Linked DNA regions of Arabidopsis thaliana. The protein of the gene in region 3 interacts with the protein of the main gene of each other region in a pairwise test. Each region holds a gene or a part of one and is shown on either strand. Other genes may lie near its edges.

What was found.
Region 1: the proteins of ELIP2 (region 3) and AT2G12400 interact in a protein complementation assay, tested with the Arabidopsis thaliana proteins (one large-scale study listed by BioGRID).
Region 2: the proteins of ELIP2 (region 3) and AT5G51160 interact in a protein complementation assay, tested with the Arabidopsis thaliana proteins (one large-scale study listed by BioGRID).
Region 4: the proteins of ELIP2 (region 3) and AT5G41800 interact in a protein complementation assay, tested with the Arabidopsis thaliana proteins (one large-scale study listed by BioGRID).

The regions. Positions count from the first base shown.
Region 1 is NC_003071.7:5,002,299-5,011,412, reverse strand, and holds AT2G12400 (plasma membrane fusion protein), read left to right. Parts: upstream 1-2,970; 5' UTR 2,971-3,272; coding exon 3,273-3,369; intron 3,370-3,451; coding exon 3,452-3,645; intron 3,646-4,452; coding exon 4,453-4,634; intron 4,635-4,711; coding exon 4,712-4,996; intron 4,997-5,077; coding exon 5,078-5,136; intron 5,137-5,208; coding exon 5,209-5,245; intron 5,246-5,330; coding exon 5,331-5,402; intron 5,403-5,489; coding exon 5,490-5,814; intron 5,815-5,894; coding exon 5,895-6,269; 3' UTR 6,270-6,529; downstream 6,530-9,114. Other genes in the region: AT2G12405 (uncharacterized protein), read left to right, coding at 1-71, 520-621.
Region 2 is NC_003076.8:20,788,502-20,795,580, forward strand, and holds AT5G51160 (Ankyrin repeat family protein), read left to right. Parts: upstream 1-3,571; 5' UTR 3,572-3,778; coding exon 3,779-4,282; intron 4,283-4,355; coding exon 4,356-5,180; 3' UTR 5,181-5,340; downstream 5,341-7,079. Other genes in the region: AT5G51150 (Mitochondrial import inner membrane translocase subunit Tim17/Tim22/Tim23 family protein), read left to right, coding at 533-874, 1,047-1,186, 1,326-1,425, 1,519-1,617, 1,775-2,122, 2,233-2,325, 2,430-2,636, 2,728-2,994; AT5G51170 (U6 snRNA phosphodiesterase-like protein), read right to left, coding at 5,405-5,602, 5,716-5,781, 5,879-5,975, 6,054-6,300, 6,484-6,576, 6,673-6,829.
Region 3 is NC_003075.7:8,415,571-8,421,659, reverse strand, and holds ELIP2 (Chlorophyll A-B binding family protein), read right to left. Parts: upstream 3,419-6,089; 5' UTR 3,288-3,418; coding exon 3,153-3,287; intron 3,059-3,152; coding exon 2,957-3,058; intron 2,876-2,956; coding exon 2,531-2,875; 3' UTR 2,335-2,530; downstream 1-2,334. Other genes in the region: AT4G14695 (Uncharacterized protein family (UPF0041)), read right to left, coding at 815-863, 1,142-1,215, 1,313-1,365, 1,452-1,550, 1,773-1,827. UniProt on the Arabidopsis thaliana protein: Probably involved in the integration of pigments into the mature light-harvesting pigment-protein complexes.
Region 4 is NC_003076.8:16,729,651-16,737,653, reverse strand, and holds AT5G41800 (Transmembrane amino acid transporter family protein), read right to left. Parts: upstream 3,992-8,003; 5' UTR 3,813-3,991; coding exon 3,728-3,812; intron 3,657-3,727; coding exon 3,426-3,656; intron 3,154-3,425; coding exon 3,056-3,153; intron 2,966-3,055; coding exon 2,779-2,965; intron 2,694-2,778; coding exon 2,563-2,693; intron 2,482-2,562; coding exon 2,245-2,481; intron 2,156-2,244; coding exon 1,766-2,155; 3' UTR 1,561-1,765; downstream 1-1,560. Other genes in the region: CIP1 (COP1-interactive protein 1), read right to left, coding at 5,263-8,003.

The DNA.
Region 1 (9,114 bases), on a different chromosome or scaffold from region 3:
TTGGTTTACATCGCGAGAACCTTGTTAAAGAGTTTCAAGGTTCATTAGAGACGGCGGTTTCGTCTAGGAGGGTTAGATAGGAGAGGGTTCAGTTGACCCCATGACTTTTATATTTTTTTTATTTTTTAAGGTTATTCGATTTTTTCCGGCCAAAAAAAAACATTTCCCCAAAAAATTTCAAAAGAGCGGGTCAGAATCTAATTCTTAAAATATGAAACCCCGCACGTATGTGCGGGTCAGAATCTAGTTATATTATTATCAAAAGAACTATAATTGTAGGATTTATAGCAATAGTTATATGTTTCTTAGTCCTCTTTTATTAAGCAAATGTAATAGCAAAGAATATTTTTAAAAATCAGCAATGAAATTTTTTTGAGTTAAATAAAGAATCATATTATAATATACTTACATTAATATATGACTTCCATAAAAAATATTTGTGGCTCCGCCACTGCTAGTGGGTGTTCTCAAACCTGTCTGAGTTGCTTTTGATGTGTCATGCTCTGGATTGGTAGCCAGAGGCAGTTTCTTTGGTTGTTCATTGGTGCTCACATGTCGTCGGTTCCGTTTTTACATTTAGTTTCTGGAGAAGCTGAAGTGTCCTTTTGCTATGAGGTTTGAGGACTGATTCACATAGGATATGCTGGTGGTTCTCGTTTGTGTTTTTTGTTTTATCATTTTTTCATAGTTTTTGATTTTTTTGTTTTAATTTCTTTTCGTTTTTCATGTATATTTTGCAACAAATCTAAATTTAGTATAAATCTACATATACATTTTTGCAGCCATTTTGTGAACTAAATCGTGTAGTTGGAATTTATTTACAATTGCTGCCACTAAATTTTAATGTTTGTTTTTGATAATTAGAGAAAAAATATTCGAATTAAATATTTGACATTTAACAATCTTCCCAAAATCTCTCCCAATTAACTACACGATTAGTTACTAAAATAAAACTTCCAAAATATTTAATATCATTTAATTACTATAAAATTTTTTCTTTTGATATTGCTTTTCTGCATGACTATAACAATTCGATTATAATCGTCAAACCGCAAAGATATTTGATAGCATTTAATTACTACAAAATTACAAAATATTTAGACAATGATTCATAAACATATCATAAATAAGATCAATATTAATAAAATATATTTGTTTTTTTTACGAGACGGGTTGACGGGACAGATTTGACAGGACGTTACTTAATAACAATTGTAAACTATAAAATAAAAATATTTTATAGATAGATACACTTTGCAAACTTTTATATATGCTACCTTTATAAAATAAATTGTTCCTGCGGTGTACCGCGGGTTAAAATCTAGTACTTAATAAATTAAACAAGAAAAGAAAAATATCTAGTCATTATGTGTGAATCTTACGCCACGAATAATTAATAATTAGTTTTTTTTTTTTTTCGTCAGTTTCATTAAACCCATAAAAGGGATACATGGTGAAAAGGATCCCAAGTACAGAAAGCCCAATTAACCCAATATAGCTATTACAATCAAAATAGACGAACACGTATGGGTAAAAGGGACATGTGTATGTGACACGTGTGTAACATCTGCTGAAGGTGGAAGAAGACGCAACCGACTCATTCCTAGCGTTTCCACCGGGCTGAAACTCCGATCAAATCCACCGAACTCTGCTAATCAAATCATCGTTTGCCATCCAAGGATTTTACCAGAATTCAGTTAAAACTCCAATCACCAATTCTCTGCCTTTGCTAAATTCTCTGAGTGAAAAGAAACAGGAATCCGAGTCATCAGATCTATGAACTGCTGGAACATACGACATGGCGAGAGGTCAGATCAGTCGCAAAACACGCTCTTCTGAACTGTTCTACGCCGGCCATCAAGTCCCACTCATCACAATTCACAATCTTAAAGAGAAACCTTCATCATTAGCCGATTACGGTCCATTAGGGGTATGAAGGATTTATTCTCCCCTTGACCAGAATTGAGAAACTGATGATTCTTGAGATTCTGAATTAAGCACTCAGCTTCTAATTCTTCTTCTCCAAAAGAAATCTAAGATCTGCAAAAGGAGAGAAAAACAAAACAAAAAACTAGCCATAGTGGCTAAGATAGACTCGCACTTGGGCGAGAATAGACAAAACCGGATTTCACCGGAAACAAAATCCGACAAAACATCGTCGGAAATAAAGGAAAACACTTTTCTCTCTCTGAAAGATTGTTGTGAGAGAAGAGAGAGAAAATAATTGATTTGATTCTAATGATTTTTTTTTGTGAAGATTAATTAATAATTAGTTATATGTTTATTTTTAGAAAAGCAGATTATCTCCAACAAATATGAAAATTGATTGGGTATAATATGCAGATGTGCATATTTATCTAACTCAGCACTAGTATTTTTGTTTTTATTTATGTGTTTTCAATTTTCATTAAGAAATAAACTTAAAAATCCGGTTAAATTATTATATATTTTTAGTCAGTTCTCTATTCTGAAGATTTTTATTTTATTTTATTGTATTATATTTTTTGTTTGATAAATAAAAACTCATAAACATTTTTGAAATTAATAATTCAGTAACAAATCTGTTTTTTTTTGGCCACATAGTAACAAATCTAAATAATCTTCGACCTTACATCACAAATTCACAACGGTAGTTGAAGACAGTTTAATAGTAAATACGAAAGTTTGTACCAAAGAATCTATTACAATTACTTGGAACTTGGAAGATTTAGTTTCAAGATTTTTAAGTTTTAATTATTAAACTAAGGGACAGTTGTACCCAAAAGATAAAATATCTCTGTCACCTCCAACAACAAGTCTTTATTCTCAAAGATTTGTTTTGTGACGCGTCGGCACAAGTTATGCCGCATAACTATCATAAATTATTTTATTAACAAAAATTTATGTTATGTTCGTAATTTAATTATACAAGAGAATATAATCACAACTAAAATATTCTACTTCTGATTTTCTTATTAATAAATATATTTACTCGGAACATCTTTTTGTAAGAAATTGGTTAACTTTACAAATGCGCACATTAAACCTATTTTCGAAATGTTGAAAGAAAAAATAAATTAACTTAATTTGCATTTGGAAATTAAATCAATTATGGAAAAACCGATGATTCGACGAATCAAACAGAACCGCGTCAAGCAATGCCTCTCAAATCAATCGTGTTCTTAACGTGAGAGAGAGCCCCATTGTTTCTCAAACACGATCGAGAATAAACATTACAACAACAACAACAGAAAAAAAAAACAGAGAGTTAAAAAAAAAAAGAACCAGACATAATGTTGTGTTTCAGATCTCAAAGAGTGTTTATACTTGTGTCTCTGTGTTTACTCTCTTCGTTTCTTGTGGTCGTCACTGGAACAACATCGATTACTGGTAAGACTTAGATTTTTCAAAAGTTGTTTCTCCATTTTTTTAATAGTTATAAGATTTTTCAATTTGTGTTTGATTGATTCAGGGGTTGGTAACGAAGAAGAAAGAGGTGTAGAAGAAGAATGGAGAACAAGTGTAATAGAAAGAGTAATTGCAGAGGAAAGTGGAGAGAACTCATCTCTGATTTTAGCTGCAAAGAGAACAAGAAGAAAAGATCCTGCTGATAATTTCAAACTCTACACTGGTGGATGGAATATAAGCAATTCCCATTATTTGACTGTGAGTCTTTTATTTCTGTGGTCCAAAAATGTTTTTTTTTTGTTGTTGTGTGAAATCTCTCTCCTTACCAGGTGGGTATTGCTTCATTTGACTTGGGTTCTTCTTAGATTCCTAAATTTTGATTAAAGTTATAATCTTTACCATCAAAAGTCTAGTGGAGTTTTGACTGTTTTAACTTTTAAGGTGTAGTTATGATGCTCATGATGAATTAATCAATAGCATAGGATTCACAACTAGTTGGTGCTTGGTTTACTTGACTTGGGTTCTTCTTATATTCCTAAATATTGATTAAAGTTATAATCTTTACCATCAAAAGTATGGCTAAATGGAGTTTGACTGTTTTAACTTTTAAGGTGTAGTTATGCTCATGATGAATTAATCAGTGGATTAGGATTCATAACTAGTTGGTGCTTGGTTTACTTGACTTGGGTTCTTCTTATATTCCTATATTTTGATTAAAGTTTTCATCTTTACCATTAAAACTATGGCTAACTGTAGTTAAATTTTAATTAAAGTTTTGATTCTATGACTAAGTGTAGTTAGGGTGTTTGGTTTATTTGACTTTGATTCTTATATTCCTGAATTTTGAACTTTAAAAGTTTTGATCTTTATCATTTTGTAATATTCACTCTGGATTAATCAATGGAAATTTGGATTAGCTCTATGACTAGCCTTGTTACTTGAATCAGTTTTATTATGCTTATATAGATGAAAGATGTTTGATACCAATTGATATTTTTGATGAGTCTTTTGTATGGTATTGGTGACATACTAATCAATCTCTATCATTCTTTGCTTGTGGTGCAGTCTGTTGGTTATACAGCGGCGCCTTTCATTATAATAGCACTAGTCTGGTTTGTGTTCTTTGGGCTATCATTGTCTCTGATTTGCCTTTGTTATTGCTGCTGTGCCCGTCAATCTTATGGTTATTCCCGGGTTGCTTATGCTCTATCCCTTATCCTCCTCATCTCGTTCACAATCGCAGCAATGTAATTCTCACGAGCTATTCTATTCGTCATCGTTGTTTCTTGCTGGATATTTATGTATCTTGTGTTTGATATTCCAGTATAGGATGTGTTTTTCTTTACACTGGTCAAGGGAAATTTCATGCTAGCACAACCGATACTTTGGACTATGTCGTGAGTCAAGCGAATCTCACGTCAGAAAACCTCAGGAATGTGTCAGATTATCTTAATGCAGCTAAGAAGGTTGATGTGCAATCCAGCATTTTGCCACAAGATGTTCTCTCGAGTATCGACAACATACAGGGAAAGATAAACTCGTCCGCCACAACTCTTTCTGTGAAAACAATGGAGAACCAAGACAAGATACAAAATGTCTTGGACATCATGTAAATATTCTGTACCATATCTTTATCTTTCATCTGTTTTTCACCTTTTTGCTTATGATTTTTTGTCTCTAATTGTTGTAGGAGACTTGCTCTCGTCATCATCGCTGCTGTGATGCTTTTCCTTGCGTTTATCGGATTTCGTAAGTCTTCATGTTATATGCATTAGCAAATTCTTTAACTTGCAGAACTTAACTTGCATTATTCTCATACAGTTCTCTCTATTTTTGGACTGCAATGCCTTGTATATACGTAAGTGAAGTCTCATTTTCTTATGTTCTGTTTTACATTGGTTCCACTATATGCTGAAAAGTTTGTTGTGATTATCAATGGACAGGTTGGTGATCCTTGGTTGGATTCTCGTCACGGTTACCTTCGTCTTATGTGGTGGATTTTTACTTCTACACAAGTGAGTTCTCTTCTCTCACTACCATTATTTGTCTACTCAATAATTGATAGCTTTCTTCAAAGAAAAAAATGGCTTCTGCTTTGTCAGCGTTGTAGGGGATACGTGTGTTGCGATGGACCAATGGGTCCAAAACCCAACAGCTCACACGGCTCTAGACGATATTCTACCGTGTGTTGATAATGCAACCGCGAGAGAAACATTGACTCGGACTAAGCTTGTAACATACCAGTTGGTCAATCTTCTTGACAATGCCATTAGCAACATGACCAACAGGAATTTCCCGCCTCAATTCCGGCCTCTTTATTACAACCAGTCAGGTCCACTAATGCCTCTACTCTGTAACCCCTTCAACGCTGATCTCTCTGACCGCCAATGCCAGCCTGGTCAGGTCCATCTGAACAATGCAACCGAGGTAATCCGAGGATTCCATCATAATATGATATATAAATTCCCAAGTCATATCAGTCTGTCTTATGATTTGTTTTTATGCAGGTGTGGAAGAACTTCACTTGCCAAATTGTAACACCGGGAACATGTAGTACACCGGGACGGTTGACACCAAAGCTTTACAGCCAGATGGCTGCAGCGGTTAATGTAAGCTATGGTTTGTACAAGTACGGACCGTTCTTGGCAGACCTACAAGGGTGTGACTTCGTGAGGTCTACATTCACTGATATAGAGAGGGATCATTGTCCGGGACTTAAGAGATACACACAATGGATCTATGTGGGTCTTGTGGTGGTGTCTGCTTCTGTAATGTCATCTTTGGTGTTTTGGGTTATATATGCGAGAGAGAGGAGGCACCGGGTTTACACAAAAGACTACAACGCTATGCACTCTGAAGATCCACGAAGCAAGGGCCACTGAGAGATTATGTTCTTTTGGAGGTTTACCCTGTACATTATGGTGTGAGAATTTGGTTACCTTCTGTGTAGTGAATGATGGAAAGAATCTTTGATTGTTTTTACATGTTTTGGGAAGTACTTTGAAATGAGATATATATTAATTTGTGGAGCTACAAGATTCTTAATATTGTTCGAACTCGCTGTCTGACAAATATTTTGTGGGATTTTGACATCACTATCTCCGATGCATGTCGCTATTCTTTTCCTCTGAGTTGATTTTTCTCCAATGTATTCTTCTAATTTTTTTCTCTGTTTTAAAGGCATACATTATTGCATCTCCAACCCATCTCTATTTTTTCTCTTATTTTTTTTTTTAAAATCATTTCCAATGTATATCTCTATATTTTACTCTAAAAAGAATATTCTTAGAAATATTCTATTTTTATTTTATATACTAATACCTTTTAATTATATAATTTACAATTTGATCCATATATTATAGATTTGCAAAATTTCCATAAAATATTATATTATTTTAAATTAAACACTAATTATTTATTAAAAAAATATTACATCATATAACAAGAATAAAACATTACAAATTTTTTTAAAATAATACCATTAAAATATTTTTCTCACATATGATCAACTAAAACATTTTAACTATCTTGGCAGATCTACACGCAATTTACCAGACTATTAAATTACTACTTGTATGTTTTAGTTTTCTTATGTTGTTTATTTTAAATTTAGTACTTGTTTGCTTGTTAAGTTTATAAAACTATGTGTTGTAATTGTTGTGTGTAAAATGATTATATGTATTAAATAAAAAAGTTTAAATTTGAGGGACTAAAGTATAAAAAAAAAATTGAATTCAAAAATAAAGTAGAGAATAGAGTTGCTCTATATAGACCAAATCTGCAGAATTCTCTATTTTAAAATCAATTATAGAGTAGGGTTGGAAATTTTTTTTGCATTTTTACTCTAAGATAGAGTAGGTTAGAGATACCCTAACAAATAGAAATCTTTATTTTTAAGAAACTATTGGAGTAAAAAATTGAGATTTCTATTTTTTTCTATATTTAGAAGAAAAATAAAAACAACCATTGAGATGGTCTTAGAGCAAAATGCCTCTACAATAAAGTCATCGTTAAAATGGAGAAAAGAATATAGATGTTCATTGAAGATGTTCAAAGAACGGTCGACTTACATATTAGATTGATAATGTTTATTACTCGAACTAAGGCTACACCGACGACATGATGTAACGTTGTTGGGTATAGTAGCATCAAATCTTTTCCCTTGACATTTGAAAAAATTTACGTGTTTAGTTATGCTATTTTTTTAATCATGGATTATTAATTCTTTATAACAAGCATGTCATCTCATCGATAGATGATTTATCTTCTTTTTCTTTTGTGAAAGCTTGATTAAAAATAAGAGAGAACAAACTCTAGTAAAGGAGGAGGTGTTGCAAGACTGTAAAGCCGACTTTGCTAACGTGTCTGGCTCCACATTAAAGCTTTTAGAAAATTTAAATATTTTAACTTTTTTTACTATATATTTTATAATAATTGAAAATAATTTAAATATAAAAATAAATAAAAATAAATAATAAATCATATATTTATATTTAAATTAGATATATAGGATTTAAGAAATTAGACAAATTTTTTATATTAGTACAAACTGATAATATTTAACCCGCAAAACATCGCAGAACGATTGATTGTTTTTAAAATCATAAATGTACAATTGTAAATCTTTTTAAAATCGTAATTGCAATTGTAAGTCTGAGATTAGTTTTTTACATACTCATAATATTGAGAATTGTTATGAAAACATTTATGTCTTCTTACATCCATTACAATTCTCAATAACCCTTTATTTTTATTGAGGTGTCACATGTACACAACACCCTTAATAGACCTTCTTTCGAACACATGCCCAATGAACAAACGCCCAGCCCACCATGATTTCTTCTTCTCCTTCTCCGATACACCAAGGATGGTTTGTAAACACAAAACACATCAATCACCAGAGTATACCTTCCAGTAGCAAATAGAAAAACTCCCAAAGATTCACTCCATCAACCATAATTTTCTTATATTGGTAAGTATTCCTTCCCAAATTCCTTTAATTTTAAACTTTTGTTTGTTTTGCGCAATGATTGATAGTATGATTTAAACGATGAATCGATGGACATTATGGTGATTAAGATATTTTTAAAATTTTGAAGTGACGTCGTAGTTATGCTAGGGAAGAACTGTTTCGCTATATAGCCAGTGATCGGAGGCATGGTGTGCAATTACCAACCATCGCTACCGATTATTTGTGAGTCTCTAAGATCCACGATTAACTCTTCATCGGGCTTTCTTGTCTCGCTATTGATGTCCAGGCATTGTAAGCTCTCGTGACTATGCCATGTTCATATGTTTACTATTTTCCTCTGTCAAAATTTAGGGCTTCATATTTTGTTTCACTACAAGAAATTTGTTCATTTTTAGCGCTAAAAATCTGCTATCTTACATTATTTATAGCAAATTCATAAACGCCATGTTCTCGGCAGCTATGGTAGGTGTCACTCCTACGATAGCAGTTTTGGAAACGCTATTATATTTAATGATATAATAGCAAAATTAGAACGCTGTTTTAAATAGTAATATAGCACTTTAATTTTTTGCTAAAAACTAACGACGATTTTAATTTCGTGTCATAATAGGTTATTCTATGTTAGCAATTAGTTCACGTTGCGAACAGTTTTTTTTTTGCATTACGTTTGATGCTATGATATATGATTCTTCTACCATAACATTAAATAATTGCTGAGTTTTGTTTATTTATGCGGTTTAGTGATGCTGTAATAC
Region 2 (7,079 bases), on a different chromosome or scaffold from region 3:
TTTCTTACAAAATTTATTTATTTTTGAATTTAATGTTTTGTTTATGGTTTTAATTATTAAGCATGTTTAATTTTCTAATATTATCAATTTATCATAATAATATATTGTATTTTTTTTCTTTTAAAATTAATATATTATATTTATTTTGGTTATTTTTTATTTAATTACTATCGCACCCGCTGGTTTACCAGTCATAAAACTCCCGTAAACGCACCTATTATCAAACGCTCAACCAGTCGTTCAAAACGCTTGATAACGCTTGAAACCGCAACCGCCTGTTTCCGCAAACTCCCGCAACCGCAACCGCACCCGCACACTTTCTGCTTTATGGTAAAAAATAAATCTTTTGGATTATTTTCCAAAAAAGAAAATAAGAAACAAATCAAAAATCATAAAGAAATGACGTGTCATAGCATATCCCCATCGGCTTCTTCCTCACTGCTCCCAACATTTTTCTCTGATTGCATCATTTCATTTCCTTTAAGCAAACGAGCTTGAGAAGCTTTCCGATTTCAATTCCTTTTAATTGACGATGCCTTCTTCGTTCTCCAAGCCGGATTTAGATCCTTCTTCTTCGCCTCCACCGATTTCTCCTTTATCTCAAGACAGCTCGGAGGCTGAGCGCCGGCTTCGAGAAGCGGAGGAGAGGCTACGCGATGCCATGGCGGAGCTTCAGCGTAGACAACGCTCTGCGGCGCGTGGATCTCACGCGGAATTGTGTGATCACGCTGACGTTTCTTGCGTCGCCAATGCCATTGGGAATTTATGTCAGAGCTTTCTTCTCTCTTATGGTGTTAGAGTTGGGATCGGGATTCTTCTTCGCGCTTTTAAGCTCGCTAGGGGACAGTCTTATTCGTCTCTTCTCGATCTTAAGGTGAGGAATTGATGAATTGGAATTTGTTTTTGTGGCAATTTCTGGAGATTTAGAGTCTTACGAGTCTCTGCTTTAGTGTTCCATTTGATACGGTTGTTTTGAAACTATGGCCAATGTGTTATTGACTTATCATTGTATATGCGATTCACTCACACGTGAACAATGGTTGCAGCAACTTGTTTCAGAGAAAGATTTGATAGTTAGGGAGGAAGCATGTCGTATTGGTCTACTTTTTGGTGGCTTTACTGGCTCGTATCATGCCCTTAGATGCTGTTTGAGGAAGTGGAGAAAGAAAGAGACGCCATTGAATTCGTAAGTTTATTTTATTTATTTGTGTTGCCTAAGATTTCGATTGTTGTATCTCTTTTCTTATAATGCTTCTACTTTTTACTTTGTGCATAGTGCTTGAAAAGTATATTCCTTATTATGACTTTGATTAAGGGTGGAGCAGAGTCTTAGCAGGTTCAGTTGCGGGTTTGTCTATCTTGGCTTTAGATGATTCCAACCAGCGTCGCACACTTGCTCTATACCTCTTGGCTAGATTAGGCCAGGTACATCTAATGGTCATAGTATTGTCTGTCGTACAGAGTAATATCACCACACAGATGTTTTTTTCGGAGTCTGATTTTTTCTCTTATTAATAGGCGGCTTATAATTCCGCTAAGTCAAAGAACAAGTTCCATCTTTGGGGTAGCCATTGGAGACATGGAGATTCGTTACTTTTTTCTCTTGCATGTGCTCAGGTATTTGAGATTCTTCTCTTTTCTTCCTGTTCTAGTTAGTAATGGAGATAGTATAGACGTTGAAAGACATTTTTGTGTACCATACGTATTCTCTCCAATGTGATTTGGTAGTGATTATGGTCAGCAAGCTAATTTTGTTGCAATGAGGTCGGTGCAGGTTATGTATTCCTTTATAATGCGTCCTGAAACCTTGCCAAAATCATATAGAGAATTTATTCAGAAGACTGGTCCAGTTGCAAGGCCTGTCTACCAAGCTGTAAGAGAGTGCTGCAGAGGTGGTCCAATTGATGTAGCCTCCTTGTCAGCCTATATTTCTAGTAAAAACGAAGCAAGCGACGTGAAGGTGGAAGAGTTTGCTTCCATCATTCCCTGTGCAGCTATTCATCCAAACACTAACTCGTGTCTGGCCCAAAATGCTAATGCAATGTCAGCTACATTCAAGAAAACATTTCCATTATATTTCTCCCTGACTTTTGTCCCATATGTTGTTCTACACCTACAAAAAGTAAGACTGTCCCTCAATATTTGCCGTTTCAGTCTTTTAGATTCCTATGGTTTATGCATTAGTCAGACATGATATGTAGTTTCTGATGCCATCCTACACTTTCATTTCAGTTCATGGCTTCTCCTTACCGGACATCTTGGCTTGCAATCAGAGATTCAGTTAGATCGACGTCCTTCTTGTCTGCTTTTGTTGGGATTTTTCAGGTAGCTGGTTTTTACATTTGATTTGTGTCCCCTCATTTCATACAATTCACATAGTTTCCTAAAACCATTCCCAAATGTATGTGCCTTCATCCCATTTGCATTAGGCTTTCATATGTGCCCATAGAAAAGTTGCAACCAAAGACCACAAGCTCGTTTATTGGTTTGCGGGTGGTGCAGCAGCCCTCTCAGTTATGCTGGAGAAGAAACCGAGACGCTCTGAGCTTGCTCTATATGTTCTTCCCCGAGCAGGAGATTCTCTGTGGGAGATACTTGTTAATCGCCACCTTCTTCCCGACATTAAAAATGCTGAGGTACAATACAATTACAAACCACTTTTGTTATTTCCAACTTTCTTCCCCTTTGAGCAATGGAACTGATGTTTTATACAATTAATGGAAACAGGTGGCTTTATTCTGTGGATGCATGGGAGGAATAATGTACTACCTCGAATATGAACCTGATACAATGGCTCCGTTTCTGAGGGGACTCATCCGTCGGTTTCTTGCTAGCCAAATAAGCAATCCTAGCAGCAAATACCCTCATAGTTCGTCCTATTCTTATCTCCAGACCCTAGATGCATTGAAGAAACCGAAAACGCAGGAGAGCCGAGAAGGCGAAACTCCGAAAGCCGAAGAAAAGTATAACTTGGAAGCAATTCCCGGTCTTTAGAAGTATAAGCAGAAGCTGTCTGATACTATATTAGCACCTGACGTTGAAATTGAGCAAACCAAAAAGGACCCTTTACGGAATCATGATTTTGATTGTGTTTCAGGAAGTTAATGTGAAACTTTCCAGAAAGAAAGGGTTCCTCCACACAGAAAACTTAAGAGATTGAAGTGATTCATAGGATTTAGGAGCCTGTTTTTTATTTTCTTTCACGTAATAACAACAACTCCACTGTCTCTTCTTTATTTCAATGAGAAGTAGCAGAATGAAGAAGATTTATGGCAAGCGAGTCAAGCTGTCTTGATTTGTTAACACCAACACAGTGTTGAAACTTGAAACAGATCACTAGATATATTCCTTTTTGTCTTGTTATAATCTTGATCTATTGCTTAAAAACTCACTTCAAGAAAAACACAGTTTTGTTTAGTTTCCTAATGCAAGTTCTCTCAACCGATGGAAAAAAAGTCAATTCGTCTAAGATTTGACTCTCATACCCAAAAACTATTGTATTACTCAAATTGTTGAAATTTCATCTGTATTGGTCGGAGCGGATATGAATTTGCACATACGATGATCTCAGGGTCAGAAAATCAAAAGATAAAGTAATGCAAACAACTGACACTTGTAAGCATTTGTTCCACTTTAAGGAATACTTCATATGCTACAAAGTCAAATGTCAAAGGGAGTTTTGTAATAGAAAATTTCAAACAAGCGTCGTGATGGTACACACCTTCATTGTATATTCAACTCGATCTTCTCTCTCTCTTTCTTCTGCATCATCACCAAAATGGATGCTTTTGAGACTCATTTACCGAAGGAGATCGTCTCTGATCCTCTCTATAACTCCTTCAACCCAAGGAGTGAAGAGTATGTCGTCGCCGGAAAGATTCTCAGGCAGCGGTCAGTCTTTGACTTGGACAAAAACGGGTTTAGCCCTCTTCATGCAGCTGCGGCAGCCGGACAAGTAGAGACTGTGAGGGCAACTTTGGGGGTTGAAAAGAAGCTTTGCCGCTTAAAAGATAGAGATGGAAAGACTCCTCTACATGTGGCAACGATGAGAGGGAAAATCGATGTGATCAGAGAGATTGTAGCGAGCTGTGTTGATTGTTTAGAAGACGAGACCGTACAAGGTCAAACTGCTTTGCATCTTGCTGTTCTGCACCTAGAGATCGAAGCAGTCATAGCCATTGTTGAGTTGATCACAGAGACAAATCGATTTGATGTGTTGAATAAGAAAGATGAACAGGGTAACACTGCTCTTCATCTTGCAACCTGGAGAAAAAATCGCCAGGTACGACGAATTAAGTTGCGGTTAAATAGTTTTCTTCCAGTGGAATCAAACTCTGTTTTTCTTTTGCCTACAGGTGATTGAAGTGTTGGTTCAGGCAATACCAGAAGAATCAAGGTCATTTGAGGTGAATGCTATGAACAAGATGGGTCTATCAGCGATGGATTTGCTGGTTATGTTTCCGAGCGAAGCTGGCGATAGAGAAATCTATGAGAAACTCATCGAAGCTGGAGCTCAGAGAGGGCGAGACATTGGCACTACTAATGTCGAGAGAACCACTTCTACTTCCACATGCCAAGAGAGAACAATGAAGTCCCAAAGCCATAAAGAACTTGTCAAGTACTTCACTTTCAAAAAGCACAGAGACTCACCATCAGAAGCACGTAGCGCATTACTAGTGGTGGCTTCACTAGTCGCCACAGCCACGTTTCAGGCCAGCTTGACCCCACCAGGTGGAACCTGGCAAGATAGCTCAATACCTGCTGTATCCCAGAACACAACGAATGTGAATACTACAAATCAACAAGCTCATACAGCAGGGCAATCTATCATGGGGACCTTCAATGGAGTTGCTTTCACTTTGTTTGTGTTCTTCAACACAATTGGGTTTTCGGTTTCACTGTCTATGCTCAACATTCTCACCCTCGGGTTCCCATTGCGGTTCCAGCTTCAGATCTGTATGATTGCTATGTATTTCTCGCACAACACAACCATGGCCAGCATTGCACCTGATCATGTCAAGCTTTACTGCATTCTCATCACATCCATCCTCGCTGCTACCACCCCGGGTTTGATGAGGTTGCTCGAGAACCCTATTGGTATGCTCGCTCACTTCTTGGACTCCAGGTCACAAAAAATTTGCTCCATGATTTCACTTTCATGTAAACGTTTTGTAACATAATAGTAGCCAGTTCAATATCTACCTTATTTCAAATCACAAGGACTTGTTGTTGCATTGTCCAGAAATCACCAATGTTATTACGAGTGATATTATGATATATGGAGACTTTTTTCTATGAAGAGACATATATTATGGAATACCCAAGAACACAGATCAACTCATCCTTCTATGTCGTTACAAATGCATACCTGATTGGTCTGCAAACACAGAAATTTGAGATTTTCTTATTCATCTGGGAGTTTACATATTTTGTGTGTTTTGTTTCCTATCTTACACTCGATCCCACAAAACTTAGAGGTGAAGATACGATTCTGCACACAACCACCTGCTCTAAGCTTCCTAAGTTCCACGTCAACAGCTCCCTTTAGGGAAGTTCTAATATCACCCAACGCCCAGACCAAGGATATATGCGGCCGCGGATCCTAAAAGAAAAATTGAAGCAGACTCGATGGGATAAGTGTCCATGACGATTTTCATTGGCTAAACAGTAAAATACAATCAAGCTGTAAAGTACTATATAGAAAAGCAAGTGGACCTTGTAGAACTCCGGCAGATTGTGGAGCTTGTAAACTTCATTAACAGCATCAATTTGCTTACTTATCTGAATTAAGGATATGATAATCAGTACAATATCTAACACAAGGTACTGAGTATGCAAAAATCCAACATTCAAGGTTAACTCTTGTTGTACAACATACCTCGGATAGTCCTGAAGTAGTGATTTCCAAAGAAAGGAAAGAGCGAGTATGGTCATCATTCACAAAGACTTCCCACTTATTGAAATCTATCAAGTATCTGTCAAAAACAGAACGGAAAACAATTCACAAACCCCATCGTAATTTGGGTAGTATGGTAGGCAAGAAATGATCTTACCTCTTCTGCAACTGAAGCTTTTGCCGAAGCATAGAAATCACCGAGTTAATCTGATGAACACGTAGTGGAACGTTTCTTCCTAAGCTTATGTGGAACTCTCTCCCCAAGGCACGCTCAAACTTCTGATCATCCTTGCATAGAATGCTGAGTGGCACATCAGCCTCTACCAAATGAAGATGAGGAACAACTGATGCAACCTTCTTTAAAAAACATACAATCTCCTTCTTTGGCAGTGGAGGTATACAAACTAGAATCCCAAAAACAAAATAAACAATGAGTGAAAGAGAAAGACAAGTGATACACTTCATCAGGCCTGCACTTCATCAATACATTCTCAAACACATACGTATCCTCTTATACTAAACAACCACTTCAGAATTCAAAAACCTCGAAACTCTCAGAAATTTTAAGCTACGAAATGAACAAATACCAGGTACGTAAACGTGCAAAGCGTAATTTCCATCGACATGAGGAAAGTTTCTTACACGAACTCCAGGCTCTGTTGAGAAGAAATCCAGTGAACCTTCAAGTTCAGACGAAATAAAAAATAAGTGATGAGTGAAATCTCTAAGAATTTGATTGAGGAACAATCACAGAGACAATTGATGAGCATCTTCACCTGTGGATACAATGGAATCGAGAAGCGCAAGCGGTGGAGGAGGCAAGGAAATCGAATCTTTCTCTCCAGAATTTGCAGTAACGGGACTCGCCGGAGAAAGATCATCGGTATCGGAATCCGATGAAGAGTCGCCGTAGGACGCTCTCAATGCTTCCATTGCCCGTAAATTAATTAAAACAGAAAAACCAAACAGAGAAACTATTTAAACCAGATTTCATTTTCAAGCATAAACCAGATTAAACCAAAATGATTCTAATATAACCAAATTAAAGCGAACCGAATATAAACCGAACCATCCGCGAAGACAAAGCAGCACAATTCGGAAACCATTAACGGGCCGAGAATGGGCCTTCACCGAAGATCAAAGCAAAACCCTAATTACGTTCCCTATAAATTAGACACCAATC
Region 3 (6,089 bases):
ATGTTACACATATTCCTAGCCTAAAAATTAGACGATTATTATGAAAGAAACTAAATGAATATGCAGATTAAATATATCTAAGCTTTTCGAGATCTATGCTAAGAAAACAAGTAATTTGAAAGATATTTGAGGAGCTATCCTTATAACTAATACGTAAGATATAAGATTATGACAAGAACTTAACTAAACTTTCCAAGAACATCAAGTTGAATATGCTTAGATTGAATATGCAGAGATATGATTAATAAAGACATGTTATATTTTTAGTGTAAGAAATAAATTTTCTAAAATTTCACCGTCTCACAATCTATACATATAACTGAAAAAGCAAGGATATATAAATTCAAAAAAAAAACTGAGAATCTAAAACAACAATAAAAACAATTCAATCACATTCGTTTTTCAGATGAACTAATATAGTTGGGCTTTTCAAAAACAATTACAAATCATATTTATGTTTCAAAACCTATGCATTCAATTTTACTTTATATGAACAAACATTATATAAAATAATTTGTAAATAATACGTAAACCCGCACGTAGTGCGGGTACTCATCTAGTCATTGATAAAGAGGTAACATATTTTTAAGAGATATAGAGTTATTATTTTGATCTAATTACTGATTAATCTTACATAAACTCAACTATCAATCTTGTCCCAAATAATATAAAAATCTTTAGCAAGCATGTAACGTACCATTCACTATCTAACAAAAATCCAAACATTGGCATATGCTACTAGAGGTCCATTAACAAGACAGTACTAATGAACGAACATTTTCACATGTCAAATGTTTCATCTTTTTCATCATCATCATCCTTCAATTTCAACAGCAGCCTCTGCTTCAGATACATAATCATACCTAATATCAAAAAAAAAGTTAATAAGCATTTCATTGATGTATCAAAAGATAAAATCATACTATCATAGACAATCATCATAAAAATCGAGTTTAAAATAGCTTCGACTCTTTGTTTGCATTACATATTAAGCAAAATTTCCTTTGCTGATTGTAAACGCCAAACCAAACCTTTCTGATTGCGTTTAACTTAGCAAAAGAAATGTTTTATATAGTAAGCTGATGAATTTGTTATCTATGTTAAAACACAAGCAAAACAAAAAAGTGGGTTTGATTCTCACTTTATTTTGCGAGTAAGTTGGTATATCCCTGTAGCTGCCATAGCAACATTAACACTAAACAGGTTCCAGTTTTTCTGTTAAAAAAAAACAAAAGTCCAAAGAATCAGATCGATAAACCAAAACCAAGAATCCAATCACAAAAGTAAAACTCGAAAAGCAAACAAAACTTACAGGAGTAATTATAGTGCTGCAACGACACCAAATCATTCCAGTGCATGTCACAGCTAATACAATAATTATGGATAATATGTTTATAACAATAATTGTAACAAGAAAGATTAGAGATTTCTGAAGAGTAGTAGTTATTTACCAATTTGCTGAAGGTACGAAATATTTTCTGGAGGTTTCTGGAAATCTGCAATGTTAGCAATGCTTATACCCCACTTAAATGTTGGAGCCCAGAAATGAACTGATTAATACCCAACAACAACAACAACAAAAAAAGAGAGAAACTGTTTACAATTAGAATATATTATTCATTAGAGGATTTAAAGTGATATAGATTTTTTTTTGTCAAGAACTGTACTATAAACAATTCAACATTTTCCAATAGTAACGTTTCAATAGAGTCTTAATTGAAACGGAAGAAGAAAGAGTAATATATTATTGATGAAACAATGTGATAACTCACTTGTCTTTGGTCCTGCCGGGTGATTCCAGAGAGCTTGAAGCTTAGACGTCGCCATCAACTTTTGTTTTCCTCGGAGATTCTCTTTTCTCTGTCTTGTTTCAGTCTCCTACATAAATATTAACGAAATGATGCTACTCAAAACGACGTCGTATAAGCAATATGTAATTGAGCCACTCAAATCTTTCCGATTATATTCATCGATCGTACTATCGTGTAGTGTTGTAGTGGCCAGATCTTTCCTCTTTTAAGTGTTTTTTTGTTTGTTCATCTTAATATATTTTTTTTTGTTCTTGGGAAGCATTGACGCTTTGATTGGGCTTTGATGAGACTAACCCATGGGCTTGAGAATTGAGATGAGGTGATTTGTTAGAGAGAAATCGCATTCAATTTCGTTTCGTCTTGGAACTTGCTTTACTTTCATTATGGCAGACACATGATGACTCTATTGGTCGATAATAACAAGGAAGAGCATAATTAATTATTCTTGGCTCTTGATTCATTTCAAAAGAATGCATAAACTCTCAAACCTTGGATAGAAGCTAAAATTTATTTTTTACTTCTTCTTCTCCATTCACATTATCTTATAAGAAAACTTTTGAAGTACTTTTTCAAATAAATTTTTATAATGTTTTTTTCATGGTTTTAAATTTTGATTCATGTTGACACACTGTTTAAAACTCATAGTATTAAATCAATCTATGCGTTACATAATCATTCTCCAAATTTGTCCTTAAACTAGCAAACAAAAAGCTTTAGCTTTAGACTAGAGTCCCACCAGTGACGTACTCGGTGAAGGCCAACGCAACGAGACCGAGCATCGCAAACCGACCGTTCCATAGCTCGGCGTCTGAAGTCATGAACCCTTTTGACTTTGCCTCTGCCCTTATTCCCTTGAACAACGGAACCATCGATGCCAACGTCAACAACGCTGTTGTTCCTAGAAACCACCCGACACCACCGTCAGAGATCTGAGCAAACACGTTTTCTCCCTTTGATAACTCCATGGCGATGGCCGCCACGAATCCAACCATTGCTAGTCTCCCGTTGATCCTCTCGGGTGCTGGACCGCTAAACGCTAGCAAATCTCCAAACTTCGTACTCACCTAGACAATAAGAAAATTATTCATTAGCTTCATTTTTTTAGCTAGTGATATATATTAATGACTTTGATCATTAGATCATACCTTAGGCTTGCTAACTGGTGGAGGAGGAGACTGTGGCATTTGTGGTGGAGTGGCCGAAGTCGAGGTCGAGGGCACAGAAGGATCTTCCTTGATAGGATCGCCCTAAAAAAATAGTCAATGTAAGGAACGGTCAGGATTAAAAGTCAAATAAGTAACGTAGGGAAGTGGAAGGACTATGAGGTTAGTGTATATATACCTGAGCCATGCATCTGACTCCTACCGGAGCAATCCTCTTGAAGAAGAGTTGGTTTGTGTTTCTGATGTTGCGTGTAGTCAATACACCGGAAGGAGCAGCGAACACTGACTGCATGTTAAACGACGCCGTTGCCATTTCTGATTAGGTTTTCTAAAAGCCGAAGATCGATGAAGAAGAGAGAAATGAATAAATTATAAGACTTGAGAAGTGAGATGGAGTTGGTTTGAGGTGTAACTGTAGGATTATCTCTTCATTTATAGAGTTGGTGAAGGAAAATGATAGGCCCAGTATTTTCTGGATTTTATTTATCTTTACTGATTTATGGGATACTATGATTACTTATTTTATTTTTGTTTTTGTGTGGTGTGTAGTAGAGTAATAAATAAGTAGAAAGAAATCTATCAAAGAAAAGAAAAAAACTGAATTCAAACTTTTTATTCCTTTTTTTTCTTTTTTCCACTTTAAACTTTTTTTTTCTTTTGGGGAAGAAAAAGTTTCCTCAGAATAAATGTTTTCAAACTTATGAGATTTTTTCCATATTTATTGTAACACCTAACAAATCAGTTGGTCATTCGTTTCATTATTTGTAAAACTACCATATTAAAATTATACAAATAAATCGAATTATTTTGCTCGAAATCGTTAAAAATGTGAAAAAAAAAGAAGAATATATCGATATTTGGGTTGAACGCTAAACACAAAAACACGTAGCCAATAAAATTTGAGAAATGAGAGGAAAGTGAGGTTGAGATCGGTGAGAGGCCACGTCTAGTTGGAAAAGTGCAAGTAAACTGATGGCGTGGCCTCCTCATTACACATAGATACACATCTTCCTTGTCTTTTTCTGATTGGTCATGGCCAAGTGGGTTTGGCAAAAACACGTACAAATTTTTTTTTTGTCTCAAAATGTTAATAACAAGTTAGTGGCTCACAATATTCACTTGGGACTTGGGAGATTCGTTTTTGGTATAGAGAGAAGTCGCATTCAATCTTGTTTCGCGCGTATTGGAACTTTCTTAACTTTCATCATGGCAGACCCATGATGACTCTTTTGATCCTTTATGTGTCCCATTCATGTCTTCGTGCCCAATTCTCCTACGTGCGCTGTTTTTTTTTCCAGATTAGAACGGTAAATAATAGCACAATTGTGAAGATATGGGCATAGTCTTCGTGTCGGTATAGTCTCCTTTTCTATTGTCTTTTGTGTGTGAGTTAATTTCTAAATTTGTAACAAGGAGAAGAGAAACCTCTATTAGTGCTTGTAATACTTTTTGCTTGATAGTGAAAAGTTGTGGGAGACAGTTCCCACCCGAGACGTACCGGTTAGAGGCCAGGAGGCAGGAACTCGGTGATCAAACTCTTGTGTCAATTTCTAGCTTAAGCAATCTAACGTTCCACACATATAGAAAACTCAACAACAATTATTTAGATATGAATGATCAGATTTGATGTACCACCATCGATATGTGCTCTCTGCGAAAACTCTTTATATATACTGAAAGAAAACATACACCCACATTGGTAGTTTTTTTTAATGGATTTTACTAGCAGAGGATAATAAATTTATCGCATATATTACTTACATTTGTAGTTTCAAATACGAAAAAACTTGACCATTAGTAGTGTGAAGTGTGTAATTGATACTTTTGAGTTCAGGACGAAAAAATGTTCACGTCATTCGTGAGGAAATAAGGCATTTAGACTCAAAAGTCCAAACATGTGAGAAGGTCCTCGAAAGGGCGAACAATAAAAAGCCCCGAAGCCCATAACACGAGTGCCTTCTTATCCCCATGAGTCTTCGAGTGGACAAAGAGAGAGAACAACTTTGGGAAATTTATAGTAGTTTGTGAAGACTTCATATAAAAATTGTATTTATGAGATTATTGTGTTTTAAGAGGAGAGACGACGAGGGTCATCATTCATTTAATTACTTTTAACATTATAATTAAGTTCTGATTTATCCGGTCGTTTATGTAATTTATTGATTATATACTTAGGTTATTTAGCCGGCCACAAGGCCAAGCAAGCAAAACATAAGCTTGCGGCCGCTAATCATATTATTATTTAGTTTTGGCCGAATTTGCATAAAAATGTAGTCTAATGGTTAAAGTTTCAGTATTTGAGTTACAAGTTCCTTAGTTCAAACTTTGACAATGTGTTAAACTAATTTTTTTTTAAACGACAGAATCACTAAATAAATAAATATTATGTGGCCCATTTTGTTTCTCTTATTGTAACCCCGTGAAACCCGGGGACGACTAGGTAACAAATACTCTTTGGGTTTTCTTATAAATCAAATGCATATCTTTGATAAACTAAACCATGAAAGAAGGAGTTTTTTTAACTGATGAATTGATGATTATTGAAGTTGATATAAGTTAGATTCAAGTTTTGATGTACTGTATTTGGAACAGAAATGTTATAATATCTTACTAAAGCCCAGTTCGGAACAAGGCCTTACCCTTATTTAAAGCCCCAGTAGATCTGTTTTGAATTGTCGCTATGAGTGAATGAGGATGGGTAGGTCGACCCTCAGAATTCTTAATTGGCACATGTTGAATGTGAGCCCAAAGCAGCCACCAATAAAGTGAATCAACTCCGTCATTTTCAATGCTTTTTCATGCAAGAGGAAACATTAAAATATCGTCGTTATTAGTATTAATTATGTTTTTGACCTGTAAAGAATGGACAAAACTTATACTAAACAAATTATTTCGCCGTCAAAAAGGAAACAAAAGTTCAGATATAAATTCCTGGTAGCTTCAGGTCAAGATAAAGTCAGGTCAAAGGTGATGAGCTCTATAATGAGTCCTCCAAATGTGATTTAAGTTTAAGAAATGAACACACTTTTCTTAAGCCGGCATTAGTTTTATGTTATTACCCCACAAATGATGATGATGATGTCGCATGGTCCTTCACGTGATTACAATATTAATT
Region 4 (8,003 bases), on a different chromosome or scaffold from region 3:
GCGTGTCCCGAGCTTGGTGGAATTTTCACGTGAATGTAATGCAACTGACTATATATTATAGTACTACAATAATCATACTAAACTATCATATTTTAGTGACTTGTGGTAAAATTTGGTTAACCATTATTAAGCCCCAACTCTAGCGTTTACCAAACCATTAGCGAATTTTAAGTTCTATACACGTACGTAATTACATTTTTTTTTTTTGTAAGCTAAATCACATGGATTTTATGAAGTACTCATGTATAGTTAGTTGACAATGACGAAAAATGTAATAAATAAACGAGCTTAAACTTTTACTGTCAGAATTAGAAGATTTTAGCTCTTTCAAACACTCTTTTTCCACATGAGTGTCTTGCAAAAAAGCACGATCATGTGGTATTATCTTTTTCTAAGTAAACTCTATTTCATCAGATTGGTTTTCTCTTAAAGAAAATGGCCATTTCTATCTTGAATGGATGAATTACTTTTGCCATTAGGAAAAAAACTTTTACTGACTTACACACATGTGTCTAAAACAATTAACACAAAACGAGTTAGGTTCTGTATGTTGACTATTCGTGCTCGTTCCTAAATTCCTAATCCTAACACGTAAACCTTAGAAATAGTATTTAACAAATACTATCGCTGATACATCACATGATAAATCATTAATTTGATCTTGTCCCCACATATATTTATTTTTTTCATTTATGATGAAGATCCTCAAATCATACTCTCAATATAATATATATTTACAGAAAATGGCCAAAAGATACTATATGAATACAAACCTTTATATATAATTAGGTGAGTATCTGCACTATGCGCGAGCTTTTTTCGGTATTTTTTTGTTCCTCATGATTTGTTTTTAGTTGTTATATTGAAATGCTATTAAAAAATAGTACCTTGTTATTGTGTCTATATTTTATTTTTAAATTTACTATATATCCATTTATTTTGTTGTTGCTAGATTACCTTGATCCTAAGTTCTTTACGTCCACATTGTTTTGCATTTCCATTTAGATTCTTAAGGTAATTTTTAATAATTAAAAAAAAAAAGAAGAAGAAGACAAAATGCAAATGAGATTGGAGTATCCGCTCCGAAATCCATGACCATAGTATGTGATAGTCTGGGCATTCGAATTTTGGATCGGATCAGATTAGATTAGGTCTGATAGAATCCGATTAGAATCCAAACAATTTTATGATTCTAATTTTTTTAGACTTAAATCGGTTTTTATTGATATTTTAGAATCCCAAGTGTATTCGAAACCAAAATATGTATGGTTTTAATTCTTATTTGGATTTGAATTATCCGATGAAATCCAAAATATCCGAATTATCCGATCAGAATTATCAAAATTATTTGAAATTTACTATATCAAATATGAAATTCTGAATTACACGATCCGAATTGAGCATAAAATTAATAATATGTAATGTATTATTTCGGATTGGTGGATATCCAATCGGTCCGAAACCGAACCAATCAGCTACGAATACTGAAAATTAACACACTCTGAGAGAGTTTACTGAACCCAGTAATCTGTTTAGTGTTTATACCCAAAGGAACTTTGTATTTAAATAGAAAATCATTTAACAAAAAAAACATATTCATCTCAAGAACAATTGACGTAAGTGTGATAATCCTTGTCTGGTTTTGCATTTTGTAACTAGTTTGGTTTTGCATTTTGTGTGATAATGAATCAACTCGAGAAATTCATGTACAAGTGTAACCACAAAACAAGTATTGTTTATGTTTTTATCACACTATCAAAACCATCTAATCAACAACTTCACTGCTAAACAACTTGAACTTATTAGCATCAAGAACAAGTTTCCTAATGGAGGAGAAAGCTCCCATGAGTCCTGCACAAGTGAACACAACCATTATCGTCATGTTTATCCAATACGTGAAGCTCCGTCTGGTTGGCTTATAGGTCATGTTGTATAGAAGCATTGGCAGCACGAAATCGAGTGGGATAAACCCAAACGCTCCTACCACCGCGTTTATATCCCCAAAGAACGGTAGCATCGCTGCCATGAACCCGCAAAACGCCATATATAGTGTTCTTAGTATCAAACGCGGCACAAGGTTGCGTTTTGAGAATATCCCTTTTGTTGTATCCGCTGATTTCTTCTCCATTATTTCATACGCAACTTGAGAATACACCTAACCAGTTACCAAAAAAAAGAAACATTTAGTCACTCGTCTCACAGCCAAGTAACATCGAATAACGATCACACTAGTTATAAACTTACAAGGCCAATGGCGAAAAGCTGAAGAAGGACAAAGATGACAGCTAAGCCAATCACCACGATAGGAGCCAGAGTCGGTCCTTCATCAGGCATTAAGTTCTTGAGGATATTAGAGCTCGAATTGTTACCAAAAACCCAATATCCCGAAATTGCAGCAGAGTAAAACGTGAAGAAGATCACACTATAACACAACAATAGTCCTTTCAACATCTTCCCTGTGGCTGGTGGAGCAAGAGTTGCCTGCATACATATAATCATCTCATAAATCTCAAACACATAACATACAATGTTTGTATTGAATAAATTGCAAACATTTCTCACCTGTATTTCGGGTAAGATTCCATTTCCGAAAATAGCAGCTATGATCGAAATTGATGTGAAGGCACTAAAAACTTTCCCTGAATCCGAATGCTCTAGAGAATACTCACGTTTAGGAGCGTTTTTCGACAAACCTGTAGAACCAAAACTGGGCAATGAATCTAAATTTTCGAACATTAGTAAGTTGTTGTTTCTTCGCTAACGTAAGAATCATTATACCTAGGTTGATACAAGCCCCAACGACGAGGAAAGTATATCCTAAGCTGAGAAGCAGAGACGCACAGTTAATGTGTCTAAGAGAGTGAAAACTTGGAAGCTGTGAGAGAACCATCATCACAACAGTCACCATAGCAATGAACTCGTAAAGCTTCAACGTTCCTTGCGGGAAAAGACTCGAATACATTATCTGTGTAGTAACACAAAAACAGAGGATGATCCGTACGGTTCTTATAGTACCTTGTTTAACAAGTAATCAAAATTTAGGTTTCTTTCTTACATCAAGACATTGACCTGCAAGTAGAATGGCGCCAATACCAATTCCAGTGTTGATAGCTGTTTGAATAAAGATCACTACATAAAACATCAATCCAGATCCTGCACCACATCACAATAACCGGCTCAAAATTCGAAATCGGCCCTTAAACCCAAAACTCAATAACCGGAAAGACCAGACTTTATGACGTAAACCGATCTATAAACCGAAATACACAGGCCTAACCTAGACCGGTACGGTAAACTAAGACACGTGTGATGATGGCGAATCTAACAAGAAGTCAAAGTATCCAAATCGAAACACGATCCAACCTTTACGGATTTATCCAAAAAAAGCAAATTAATAAATACAAAGAAGAGATTTTGAATGATACCAAGAACATCGGCGGCGAGTTCCCGGAAACGGATGTGACGGCGGCCGGATTTTTCACAGTGATCAAGAACCTTAGACATGAGGTAATAAGCGTAGAAAGTAACGAGTCCCATCGTCGTTAAACAAACAAACCCTAACCACCATCCTAATCCTCTAAACGCATATGGTAATGTCAATATCGTCGGACCAACAATCGCCGTCGTTAGATGAAATCCGGCGTGCCACCACTCGCCTGAGAATTAATTCTCAAATCAGTTAAAATTCCAAAATTGGAGATTGATATCATAAATATATGGGTTTAACCTTTTGATTGGAGGACGAAGAGAGCACCGGCGTCGGAATCGAGTCGGGTAACAGGAAACGGGTCGGGTCTGGGAGGATCCGTCATCGATGAATTTTAGTGTGAAAGAGAAGAAGATTCTACAAGTGAATGATTTATATATGGAATGATGATGATGGAGAGCACGGTGGAGAGGTGGGCGCATGATAGCTGGTGATAGTTAATGTTTGCTATAATGTTAAATTCCGTTGCTTCTTTAAAGAAACAACCTGTCATAGTGAGAAAAGGAGACATATTTTGCATTTTCCTCTTTATTCGGGATGTGATAAAATTTTGCTTTTTTCAGATTCCTATCATTAAATTAAAAAATTAGTTTTATGATTCCTATTTTCATACATTTCCACTTGTACTTTACTTGTGCTTCTTTGCATGTTTCAGATTTTTTTTTGTAAAAATAAAAATATTAAATTGACAAAACAAGGTTTTGAAATTACTTTTTGATATTTTATTTAGAAATTTTCAGTAATGTATTGTTTGTAAATAAGGAAACAAATTTTAAGAGTTTTTTTTTTGTTGGAATAATCCAATATGATTTATATGAATATCTATCACATAATTTTAGATTTAATGTATCTTGGTGAATTAATCAGATAATAAAGTAATTGGGAATTATAACGTGTTAGACTCTTTTCAAATTTTAAGGTCAAAGTATAATCACTGTCTGATTTTAGAGGAGAAAGTAGTGTGTTTCCATAAACTCATAAAAGTGAATAGAGTTTCTATTTAAAATTTAATAATTTAAGATATTGCCAAATTGTACTTAATTTTCAATTAACTTCGATTTAGGAAATATCAACTAGTTATGGAATTTTTTCTCAAATATTTGATTGATCTAACATCACCAAACCTTACTGGCTGACTTATTTTGTGTATCATTCACATGGCTGACTTTTTCGGTTGTGAAAAACACTTGAAAAAAAAGTGGTTGCTATTAAAGAATAAACATTTCAAACATTTCAAACTAGTTCACATTAGAAATTCAAGGCGAGATATAACGACTGCTAATGCAAAAAAAAAAAACCCAATAAAATAAGAAATGAATGAGAGAACGAAACTCTGTAAAGCGATGTGTATAATTTTGTTATGAAAGAGCAAAGATGATACTATAACAAATTCCAAACAAGCAAAAGCACTATACCAACAGTAGCATTTAATCGTTCTATACAATCCGACGCCCAAAGAAAAAAAAATATCAACTCCATTTGTGTGAGCCCCTTTATTCCCTGACCTCCCATAAAAACCACCACCAACTTTGCCCACAATAAACCAAAAATTTTGACTTACAAAATACAACAAAAGTTAACAAACATATAAAAGTGCAACAAAATCGAACACAAGTACACCAAAAGTCCCCAACCAAAAATACCTCTCCACCAGCTTCTTGATTGACCAGAGTCCAAAACCTAATAAACACATATATGTTGTTTCATTGTTTGCATTCATGTGAGGTGGAAACTAGGCTTGGGAAAGATAAACAACGTACCATGGCACTGAGTCCTTAAGTTCGCTGCGACACTCTTCTTTGGCCTCGAGCCACAACGGTCTTAGACAAAACCTCCTCAAGATATTCACAACGACTTCTATGGTGATCGATCCAAACACATAATTGCCTTATCGCTTCTCTTTTCTCTTCTCCAAGTCCCATCAAAGTCTCTTTCATCATCTCCTTCTCTTTTTCATCTTCTCTTACTTTTCCTCCAAGCTTTTTTATTTCTTCATCTTTCTTCTCTATCTCTTTATTCATCTTCTCCTTCTCGTGATTTCTCTCTATCACCCAATTCGTCGCAGTCCACAGTATTTTTGATGCCTCCATTACAGTTTTCTCGTATCTCCCCTGTTTCTCCGTGAGTTTTTCTGACATGGATTGAAACCCATCTACTGTTATGTTCACTTTATCTGCTATCTCTTTGATCATACCTCGATAAGTCTCATGTGTCATGGTGAGATTCTTCTCAAGCAATGCTTGCTCCTCTAAGTGCTTAGCCTCTTCTTTCCTGAAAGCTTCTTCTTTCTCTGTTAGTACCTGTTCGGTTACTCTCAGTTTCTGGTTCGACAAGCGTAGCTTAACCTCGATGTTACTGATCTTCTCCATGAGAGTTTCGATCTCGTCTCCTTTCATTTCCAGCTCGTTACGTAAACTCTCCATCGTCTCTTCATGAACCCCAATTGTAGAATCTCTGGATGTCACTTCCTTACCCCTCTCCTCCAACAATCTTTGAGCTTCTTTGTAATCCACAGTTACCTTATTTAGTGTTGCTTCAGTTTCTTTAAATAGTTCGTTTATCTGCTTGTGTTCCTCTTCCAGCGTATTGTAAGCAGCTTCTTGCTCTACCAATGCTTTCTGGACATCGGTGATCTGATTCGACAATTCTGATTTCTCTTGCTTCTCTCTCTCAAGCTCTGCTTCGGTTTCGCTCTTCTGCACCTGTAGAGAATCAAGCTCATTCTTCAGATTGTTGATCAGTTCTGTTAAGGCCATTATTTCAGAAGACGCTACGTTGATCTTATCGTGCATTTGAACATTCTCTTCTTTCTTAGTTCTCAGCTCCTCATCAAGCTCACTTCTCTGTTTCCCTAGAGTCTCTAACTCAAGTTCACGACCCTTAATCTTCTCAGATAAACCATTTATTTCTTCTAGAATACTCTCGTGAACTTTAACCTTGTTTATGATCTCCTCTTTTAGATTTGTAATCTGACTCAGATATTCAGATATCTCCTCGGACTTCTTTTCAAGTTGGATCTCGAGTTCTGCTCTCTGGCTATCAAGTGAGGCCACTTGCTGTCTCAGACCATTGACCTCATCATCCAAACGTTTAATCTTCACTGAGGCTTCCTCGCTTTTGCACACCATTTGTTTCTCCACCTCTTCTTTTTGAACAGACATTGAATCTAATTCTGCTCGTAGGCCATCGATCTCAGCTGTCAAAGTCTCAATTGAAGACGATGATTGCTTATCGTTATCCTCAAGTTTTTGAGTTAAAGCTGAGAGTTCAGTTCCTCTCTCCTCCATTGTCTTCTCAAGTTCTGAGATTCTAGCAACCATTTCTCTGTTTTGCGCTTCCAACTGCTCAACTACGGTGGTCTTGCTTGCAATCTCTGTCTCAAGATCTATTATACGGGCACGAACTGACTCTAGTTCCAGCTCCAGTGTCGCTACTGTTGCTTCTAGTTCTTTTATTTGCACCTGTGATTTGCTGTCCTTCTCTGTCAGAAGGAATAGTTTGCTTTCTTTCTCAGCGAGCTGCTCTTTCAGTTTGCTCGAATCAGCTGTGAGTTCCTGTACCATGATCTGTGTCCGTTCAAGCTCATCTGAAGTTTCTGAGATTTTCGTGGACATAGTTCTGCTTTCTTCTTCTGCAGCCTTCAGACTTTCGCTCAATTCCAAAACCCTGTGTTCAGATGATTCCAGTTGCGCTTCTAAACCTCTTAACTGAGTGGATAATTCTCTCTGATGAGTCTCATGGATATCCCTCAAGCTAAAAAGTTCATTGTCTTTCTCAGCGTGGCTCCCTTTTAATCGTTCAGACTCAGAGCTGAGTTCTTGTATGGTGCTTTCCGCCCGCTTGATCTTGATCGACATTTCTGAAATTTGCTGAGATAAAATTTTCTTCTCTTCCTCTGAACTGTTCAGGTTCTGGTTCAATTCTTTAACCTGTTCCTCTGCTGATTCCACCCGTGCTTCTAATTCTTTCACCTGACTTGAGGAATCTCTCTTATGGGCCTCGTGTACCTCCACAAAACTAGAAAGCTCATTCTCTTTTTGTGTGAGTGTATCTTTAGACTCTGCCAATTCAGTCACAAGTTCCTGTACCTTGCTTTGGGCCTGTTTGAGCTCATCCGTAATTTCCAAGATCATTGAGGACAGGGACTTCTTTTCTTCCTCTGCAGCATTCAGACTCGCACTCAGATCTACGACCCGTTGTTCTAATAATTTCAGTTGAGTTTCTAATTCACTCAAACGAGTGGATGATTCTCTTTGATGAGTCTCGTGAATGTCCCTCAAACCAGTAAGTTCCCTCTCTTTCACACCGTGGCTCTCTTTCAACTGTTCAGACTCAGACATGTGTTCTTGTATGGTTTTTTGTGCTTCTTGAATCTCATTAGAGATATCTAAGATTCTCTGAGATAACATTTTTTTCTCTTCTTCTGCATTGTCCAGACTCTGCTTCATATCTGCAACCTGTTGATCTGCTGACTTCACCAAACTAGAAAGCTCACTCTCTTTCTCTTTGTGTCGGT